Linked DNA regions of Coturnix japonica. The protein of the gene in region 2 binds, or shares a complex with, the protein of the main gene of each other region. Links are inferred from orthologs where the notes say so. Each region holds a gene or a part of one and is shown on either strand. Other genes may lie near its edges. The genes, in order: CIAO1 and MMS19.

Region 1 (4,312 bases), on a different chromosome or scaffold from region 2:
AACGGCTGGGTGGGGAATAGGGCACGGATGGGGCTGTTGTTGTTGGGCCATAAGGATGGAAGGGGCAGGAAGCACAAAGTGGCTGCTCCCAAACCTCAGCCCCATAATGACCCATAGGAGCCCCATAGCGGCCCTATAACAACCAATAAGGACTCCATCAGCCTTATAACAACCCCAGACCGAGCCCCATAACGACTCCATAACAAGCCCATATCGAGCCCCATAAGGACCCCATAATGACCCCATAGTGACCCCATAAAAACCCCATACCGACCCTATAAAACCCCATAAAAACCCCATAGACCCATAAAGACCCCATAAAGACCCTATAAGGAGACTCATAATGAGACCCGTAACGAGCCCCATAAGGACCCCATAGCGAGCCCCATAGCGATACCCATACCGAGCTCCATAAGGGCCTCATACCTATCCCATAAGGACCCCATAGCGACCCCATAAGGACCCCATAAGACCCCATAATGACCCCATAAGAACCCCATAAGGACCCCATACCGACCCCATAACAACCCCATACCGAGCCCCATCAGCTCCATACCAATTCCCATACCGAGCCCATAATACGCCCCATACCGATCCCATACCGGCCCCATACTGAGCCCCATAAGGACCCCATACTGAGCCCCATAGGAGCCCCAGACCGACCCCATACGGACCCCCATAACGACCCCATAGCGAGCCCCATACCGAGCCACATACCGATCCCATAACGACCCAATACTGACCCCATAAGGACCCCATAATAAGCCCCATACCGATCCCATACCGATCCAATAAGGACCCCACACCGAGCCCTATAGCGAACCCATAGCGGCCCCATAGCGGCCCCATAGCGACCCCATAGCGGGCCCATAGCGAGCCCCATAGGGACCCCATAAGGACCCCATAAGGACCCCATAACCCCATAAGGACCCTATAAGCCCCATAAGGACCCTATACCGCCCCACTCTCCCCGCTCTCCCGTTTCTCACCCCTCAGCAGCTCGGTCCTGACGGTCCCCATCACATCGGCCACCCCCAGCTCCTGCCGCCCGCAGGTCCCGCCGTGGATCCGGAGCCAGGCGGGTTCGGCCAGCGCGGTGCAGAGCGCGGTGATGGACAGAGCCCCGGGCAGCGCCGACGCCAGGCTCCGCTCCGGTTGTTTGGGCAGCGCCCCCCCCCCGCCGCCTCCCGCCGTTCCCCGCCGCCTCCCCCTGCCGTGCAGCCCGGGCCCGGCCGGGTTGTACATGGCTGCGGCCCGAACAGCCGGCACCGCCTCAGGCCGCGGGCTCCGCTTCCGCTTCCGGCGAGCGCGGCGGTGACGTCACTAGGGCGGCAACATGGCGGCGCTTCCGCTTCCGGTGTGACGTCATTACGGTGCGACGCGATGAAGGAGGCGCTGGTGCTGCAGAGCCGCGTGGCGGCGCATCCCGAGGCGCGGTGCTGGTTCCTGGCGTGGAGCCCAAACGGGAACCTCATCGCGTCCTGCGGCGGGGACCGGGCCGTGAGAGTGTGGGGGCGGGACGGTACCGAGGGATAACGGGAACGAGGGGGATAACGGGGCGGAAGGAAGGGGCGGGGCCTCAAGGGTGGGGGCGGGGCTAAGAGAGGGCGCAGCCAATGGCTGACGAGTAGAGGCGGGGCTAAGGGAGGCCCCAGCCAATGGCTGATGAGTAGGGGCGGGGACAATGAATGGGGGCGGGGCTATGAGAGGGAGCGGCCAATGGGTGACGAGTAGGGGCGGGAACACGGTGAAAGGGGGCGGGGCTAAGAGGGTCGTGGGCGGGGCTTAAAGGAGGGGGCGGGGCTAAGAGAGGGCGCAGCCAATGGCTGACGAGTAGAGGCGGAGACATAGTGAATGTGGGCGGGGCCAGATGGTGGTGGGAGGGGCTTAAGGAAGGGGCGGGGCTAAGGGAGGGTGTGGCCAATAGGAGGCGGAGCCGAGAGGGTGGGGTAAAAAGGGCGGGGCCAGAGGAGCGTGGGAGGGGCTTAAAGGAGGGGGCGGGCTTAATGGCCCTAATACACGTGGGTGGGGTGGGGGCTGGGCTCCTATTGGGGTCCCCCATCCACCCCCCCCCTATTAGGGTCAGCTGGAGGCTTGCCGTGCTGTGCTGTCTGATGGCCACCAACGCACAGTGAGGAGAGTGGCCTGGTCGCCCTGTGGCTCCTATTTGGCCTCTGCCAGCTTCGACGCCACCACGTGCATCTGGAAGCGCTGCCAGGACGGCTTCGAGGTCAGACCCCCCCCACAGCCCCATAACACAGCCCCATAACCAGCCCATAACCCAGCCCATACCCAGCCCCACAACCACCCCATAACCAGCCCACCCCCACAACCAAGCCCACAACCCAGCCCACTAACCCAGCAACCCCCATAACCAGCCCCATAACCCAGCCCCATAACCCAGCCCCATAACCCAGCCCCATAACCCAGCCCCATAACCCAGCCCCATAACCCAGCCCCATAGTGGCGCCCTGCAGCTCCTTGTGCCCCCCACAGTGCGTCACCACATTGGAAGGACACGAAAACGAGGTGAAGTCGGTGGCCTGGGCGCCGTCGGGCAGCCTGCTGGCAACGTGCAGCCGGGACAAGAGCGTGTGGGTCTGGGAAGGTGAGGGGGGGAATGAGGGGACCCCAAGGGCATCGGCCCCACTGTGTCCCTGCTGTCCTCAATACTGCCCCTTCTGGCCCCATTGCTGCCCCTTCTGCCCCCTATACTGCCCCTTCTGGCCCCATTGTTGCCCCTTCTGCCCCCTATACTGCCCCTTCTGGCCCCATTGCTGCCCCTTCCATCCCCACTGTGTCCCTTCTGGCCCCATTGTTGCCCCTTCTGCCCCNCCCTTCTGCCCCCTATACTGCCCCTTCTGGCCCCATTGCTGCCCCTTCCATCCCCACTGTGTCCCTTCTGGCCCCATTGTTGCCCCTTCTGCCCCCTATACTGTCCCTTCTGGCCCCATTGCTGCCCCTTCTGCCCCCTATACTGTCCCTTCTGGCCCCATTGCTGCCCCTTCTGCCCCCTATACTGCCCCTTGTGGCCCCATTGCTGTCCCTTCTGCCCCCTATACTGCCCCTTCTGGCCCCATTGCTGCCCCTTCCATCCCCACTGTGTCCCTTCTGGCCCCATTGTTGCCCCTTCTGACCCCAATACTGTCCCTTCTGGCCCCATTCCCTCATGGAAGGTGTTTTTCCCCGCAGTGGATGAAGAGGAGGAATACGAGTGTGTCAGCGTCCTCAACTCTCACACTCAGGACGTCAAGCACGTGGTGTGGCATCCCAACCAGGAGGTGAGAGCCCAGCTCAAGGGCAGCGGGACCTGCGGGCATCACTGTGTGTGATGGGAAAGGATCTGAGCCACAGGGCCATAAGGAGTCAGTGCTCCCAAGAGATGGGGTTTGAATGGTCCTCTATGGGGGCAGGGCTTTGCAATCCCTGTGGGTTTGGGGTGTTGATCCCATTCCTGTCCCAGCTCCTGGCTTCAGCCAGCTACGACGACACGGTGAAGCTGTACCACGAGGAGGAGGACGACTGGGTTTGTTGTGCCACGTTGGAGGGTCACGAATCCACCGTGTGGAGCATCGCGTTCGATGGCAGCGGGCAGCGCCTGGCGTCCTGCAGCGACGACAAGACCGTGCGCATCTGGCAGTGCTACAAGCCGGGCAATGAGGAGGGTGAGCTCCTAACACAGCTCCTTGCTGGGACTTGGATCACTCAGTGCTGTGTTGGATCACTCAGTGCTGTGTTGGATCACTCAGTGCTGTGTGTTGGATCACTCAGTGTTGAATCACCAGTGCTGTACATTGGCCATCAACTCATGCTCGTGTTGGATCACTCATGCTGTTGTGTTGGTATCTATCTCAGTGCTGTGTTGTGATCCTATTCCAGGTGCCTGTGTGGTATCACTCATTTGCATGGCCCGTGTGTTGATATTCCACTCAGGTGCTGTGTTGATCCATTCAGTGCTGTGGTGTGTTGTATTCACTCAGTGCTGTGTTGGATCACTCAGTGCTGTGTGTTGGATCACTCAGTGCTGTGTTGGATCACTCAGTGCCTGTGTGTTGGAATCACTCAGCTGCTGTGCTTGGATCCTCAGTGCTGTGTGTTGATCCACTCAGTGCTGTGTGTTGGTTACAGCGTGCTCTCGGTGCTGTACTGATTGGATCACTCAGTGCTGTGTGTTGGTATCATCCTCAGTGCTGTAACACATTGATCACTAAGTGCGGTGTGGATCACTTCAGTGCTTGTGTGTTGGATCACTCAGTGCTGTGCATTGGATCACTCAGTGCTGTGTGTTGGATCACTCAGTGTTGGATCACTC
Region 2 (4,600 bases):
ACCTAGCTCACACATGGTAAAAACACAAGAGGCCTGATGTGAGCAGGAATACACAAGCAGGAAGTGCCCCCCCAGCAAACACATTATAGGCATGAAACGGAGCTGCTCTTCAGGCAGGGGGACAGCAGCATGGTGCTGCCTGACTGGCACACAGGGTAGGAGATGACTCCTGCTCCCCTGACCATGCTGCTCACGAGCACCTGGTCTCACACAGCAGCACAGCCAAGGTAAGAGGCCTCTTCTCAAGTCAGACCAAGGAAATTGCTCTTGCACCATGCTCCGCAACCAAAAGTCAGGCTCCCAAGATCACAAGAGATGAAAAAGGGCAAAGCCTGCTACAAGGAGACAAAGCTGGAAAGAAATGAGGTTCCCCAATCCCAGCCCGTGACAGCTCAGAGACAGAACTAAAAGCTGAGCGGCAGTCAACTCATGACATGGAGAAGGGCAACTGTGTGGTCAGACAGCTCCTGCTAGGGAGTCTCAGCTGCAATGTGCTCTGCGGCTTGCTGCATGCTGCAACACCTTTCCTCAGTCCCAGGAGAGATTTACAGGCCCCTCCTGCCCTTTCCTGGAGGGCTCCCATGCCCTGAGAGGGCAACGTGCAGTGAGCAGGCAACAAACTTGTGGTGTGTCTGTGTGCCCGGTGGTGCTGAAGGCAGTTTGCACAGGACGAGATGTCAGCACACACTTTTCCTTCTCACTGCCCCTTACTATGGGAATCTCCCCCACAGAGCCCTTACACGATGTATAATGTGTACACAGCTTTCCTTACCCCAGGGCTTCCACAAGCTGCAGAATAGTCCAGCTTCCATCTTTCACCCCTGGAGAAAAGAGATAAAGAGAGTGAACCAAAGAGACTCCCAGACAGTTATTGAGGCAGAGAGCAGCTCTCCCGATGCTCCCTAGGGGACAAAAGAAACCAAGCTCTTAACAAGGCAGTGGTTGAGCCAAACAGCCCAGACATTAACAAGCACTCAGCTTCCATCACCTCTACTCTGAGCAACACCTGCACAAATGCCCTCCAAGGCAGAAAGCACAGAGAAATATGGTTTTGTGGTTACTGTACGACACAGTGCTGGGACTGCTGGAGTGTATTTGCAGCTCTGACTCAGGCACCCCAGCCAGGTTGCTTCACTTACCTCCTGCAACTGAACTGGGGGAAGAGTCACTCCCTAGGAGGCTTTGGTGAGAATCTACTGCACCCTTCAAAAGCCACGGCAGAGGGGCTCCTACCCCTGCAGTCAGTGCAACACTCACCCACTAAAACAGCTCTGCGTGCCTTTGGTCCCCAGGATTCACCATTTCTCTGCCCTGCTGAGGGCTTGTCTACACAATTGGTGGGGCACCCACCTATCAGAAAGCCCAGAGGTTTCATTTGGGACTGTCCCAGGCCTTGCCTCAGCTGGAGTATCCTGCTATTGCCAGCATTTACTGTCTCTTTCTAAAGCAGTTAATTCCAGTATTAAGTTGTGCTGTTCATTGGAGAGTAGTTTCTGTGGATGGAAGAAGAAATGCCCACAATTTCTGTTAGCAAGCAGCCCTGGCTCCAAAGACAGCACTTCCAGTCCCACTTGGCACAAAGAGGATAGGAGGCACGGCATGGAGAGCCATGAGGAAAAAGGAGAGTCCAGCTGGCCGCAGGATGGACAGCCACAGGCTGAAGAAGAGGTGCCTCAAGTGAGACTGAGCTGCTGGCAAAGCCTCTCGCAGGAAAACAGAAGCATGGTAGCAAGCAGGCACTGTGCTTGAGCACAAAGCAGAGTGCTCCTTCACACCTAGGATCCCACCACCTTATTCCAGAGCACAGCTCCTGCATCCTCATGACTCTGACCTCTGCATGATGCAAAAGGTCAGAGACACACCAGTCCCACAGGTGAGCACTGACCTGCTCTACACTTTCAAAGCCTGAATGCAATATTTAGACAAAGGTGCCGGTGACCTCACCAATAGGAAAGAGCTAAAGAGTAACGATCTGGCCACAATCAGCCACCCGTGTTCTTGTGGCTATGAACCCCCTCGCTCTGGTCTCAAAGGTCTGCTCGATTTCACTGTGCATGAGCGAACCACACGAGCCCAGCAGCATGCAGAGCAGCAGCAGCACGCAGCACAGCTGAACTGCGAGCTCAGCTCCAGCTGTGCACCTTGTATCCCAGTGTGCTCCTTTACCAGAAGGGCTGCCCTGCCCTGGTGGTGTTCCTAGAGTGTGAGGCTAAACAGAAGCGAGCAAGTTACCCTTTGTTATATTCTTATTTGAAACCCATCAGCCTTCCCTGACATCTCCCTTTCACGTGCCACATTTCATATATCATTTCCATACACTTTCTTCTCCTTACGTTTCCCCAGCTCCCTTACAATGGGAGTGCAGCAATTCCCAGCGGGCACAATGGATTTCTCTAACGGCGTCATTCGTCTCCCGGTGTTTTAACAGGAGCACACTCAGCCCCTCTGACACACGCTGCCTTACGCAGCCCCAGCTGCGACAGCACCGAGCTGCCTCCCACCTGTCAGGGCACATTGAATGCAGCGCACAAAGGAAGCTCGTTCAACGTGTTTCTTCCCACAGTCACACAGAAGGCGCCGAGCTCAGAATAAACCCTGTCCTTCCCTCAGCGCTACGTGCTGTACCGTAACGCTTCCAGCCGTGACTCCATACAGGTCACGGAGGCCGCACGATGCCGGCATCCCCCCGTCATCCCACGTGTGTCTGTCACAGCGCCGTGCGGCTCGTGGGACCTGGCGGACACGTGGCCCAGCAGCCCCGCACCCCACCCCGCCCCGCCCCGCCCGGTACCTGCGGCCAGCTCCGCGTTGCGCCCGTCGTGCTGCCCGCTCACCCAGTCCCGCACGGCAGCACCGAGCTCCTCCGCTCCCGCCGCCATGTCGGCCCGTTCCCCGGCACACACCGGCCGCGCTCCCGCCGTGCGCACGCGCAGCCCCGAGGCATGAGCCCACGGCACATGCGCGACCCCGGCGCCCCCTCCTCACCTCGCCCCCCCGGCCGGTATTGGTGGGGGCGGCACGGCGCTGTACGGCGGCGCGGGAGGGACAAAAGCCGCGGGCAGGACGGACGCGCGCACGTGGGCGGCGCTCCCCGCGGGGCCGCGGCCGCGACGGGGCGGTCACATGCGCACGTGGGGGGCGGGGCGCGCCCAGGGCCGGCTTTGGCGGCGGGGCGGCTCGGGCGGTCGGAGTCGGGCGGGGCGGTTTGACGACGCCGGAGCCCGCGGTGCAGCGCGGCGTGGAGCCCGGCCGGACACATGCCGAGCCGCCCGCGCCGCCGCCGCCGTCGGTGAAGCCCCGGCCATGGGCGGCTGCGTGGGGCGGCAGCGCCGGGAGCGGCCCTCAGCGGGGAGCCCCCGCAAGAGAGCAGGTGAGCGGCACCGCAGGGCGCGGGGCGTCCGGTCGCGGCGTGCCCGGTGCTGGAGCTGTCCGCACGGCACCGCCGGCCGTTCTCTTCCTGCCGCCCGGTTGGGGTCGGTCCCGGGTCGTCCCGGCTCTTCGCTGTGCCGGGGATTCCCCCGCTCGTTCCCCGTGCGCCCCGTCGGTGCCGTGCCGTACCGTGCCGTGCCGTGCCGGGCTCCCGGTTCGAGCCGCCGCGCATCCCCGGCGTGACCCCGTAGTGCCGCGGTGCCCGTGCCGGGATTGGCTCGTGGTGCCCCGCCAGCCCCTCGTGTCCCCGGCCCGTCCCCAGCACCGCTCGCTCGGACCGGCCGGGCTGGGGGCAGCGCTCCCGCTGCTGCAATTCGCCCCGTTGCGCCCCATCGTTCCCCAACGGGCCCCGCCAAGCGCCGGGCGGGCGGCACGGTGAGTCACTGCCCGCCCGCTGCACCCACACGGGGAGGAGCAGGAAGCACCGGGCGCGGGGACCCCGCGGCGTGGGCCTCTCACGGGAGAGGTTTTCCCACTGACCGGTGCCCGGCTGTCACGGAGCGGGCGGTGCTGCAGGATGCTGCTGGGCACACAGAGCAGGGCTCGGATCTGTGCGCTGTGCTGCTCGCTGTCCTCGTGTCCCCTCCTTCCCCCAGCACTGCAACCCGAGGCTGGGGGCTCTGAGCTGCTCCGGCTCATAGGTGGCTCATAGGAGGGCTGACCCTGCGGGCTGCAGGGTGCTGGAAGTTGTCTGTCCGGAGCAGCCCTGCAGGGAGCTGAGCTGGGCAGCAGCAGGTACGGCATGTTGGGTTTGAGTGAGAGCACAGCTGGGCAACTCCTGACCCCCCGTGTCCCCCGAGGGTGTGGAGTTGCACAACGGCTGGGAATAGAGCAACACAAGATGATTAGAGGCTGGGTCCAGGCTGGGTGGCAGCAATAAATAGAAGAGGCTTAGCTCCTGCCTACCTGCCCAGGGCTGCCGGTGGCTGTGGGGTGGCGGTTGGGCCACAGCCTGTCCCTGCTCCTGCAGACTGGGCTCCCTGCCACACCGTCAGCTTGGGTGCCTCTCTGCAGCCCCTGGATTCCTCTTCCTTGCTGAGCACCAGCCCTCTTCCCTTTCCTGCAAGTGGAGCTGGGGGATGGTGCCGGCTGGGAGCTGTGCTGCCTGGCTCAGATGTGTCCATCCCTAACACTAAAGGACCTCGTTTCCTGGCAGTGTTACCTACTCTTC

The links.
Region 1: MMS19 (region 2) and CIAO1 share a complex: the UniProt entries of both Homo sapiens proteins name them as parts of the MMXD complex. The link is inferred for Coturnix japonica from reciprocal best matches to the Homo sapiens genes MMS19 and CIAO1.

Annotation. Positions count from the first base shown.
Region 1 is NC_029537.1:1,034,518-1,038,829, forward strand, and holds the start of CIAO1 (probable cytosolic iron-sulfur protein assembly protein CIAO1), read left to right. Parts: upstream 1-1,358; 5' UTR 1,359-1,383; coding exon 1,384-1,533; intron 1,534-2,080; coding exon 2,081-2,230; intron 2,231-2,496; coding exon 2,497-2,608; intron 2,609-3,192; coding exon 3,193-3,281; intron 3,282-3,463; coding exon 3,464-3,665; intron 3,666-4,312. Other genes in the region: TMEM127 (transmembrane protein 127), read right to left, coding at 990-1,245. UniProt on the Homo sapiens protein: Key component of the cytosolic iron-sulfur protein assembly (CIA) complex, a multiprotein complex that mediates the incorporation of iron-sulfur cluster into extramitochondrial Fe/S proteins.
Region 2 is NC_029521.1:19,483,264-19,487,863, reverse strand, and holds the start of MMS19 (MMS19 nucleotide excision repair protein homolog), read right to left. Parts: upstream 2,966-4,600; 5' UTR 2,880-2,965; coding exon 2,792-2,879; intron 822-2,791; coding exon 773-821; intron 3-772; coding exon 1-2. Other genes in the region: UBTD1 (ubiquitin domain-containing protein 1), read left to right, coding at 3,124-3,370. UniProt on the Homo sapiens protein: Key component of the cytosolic iron-sulfur protein assembly (CIA) complex, a multiprotein complex that mediates the incorporation of iron-sulfur cluster into apoproteins specifically involved in DNA metabolism and genomic integrity.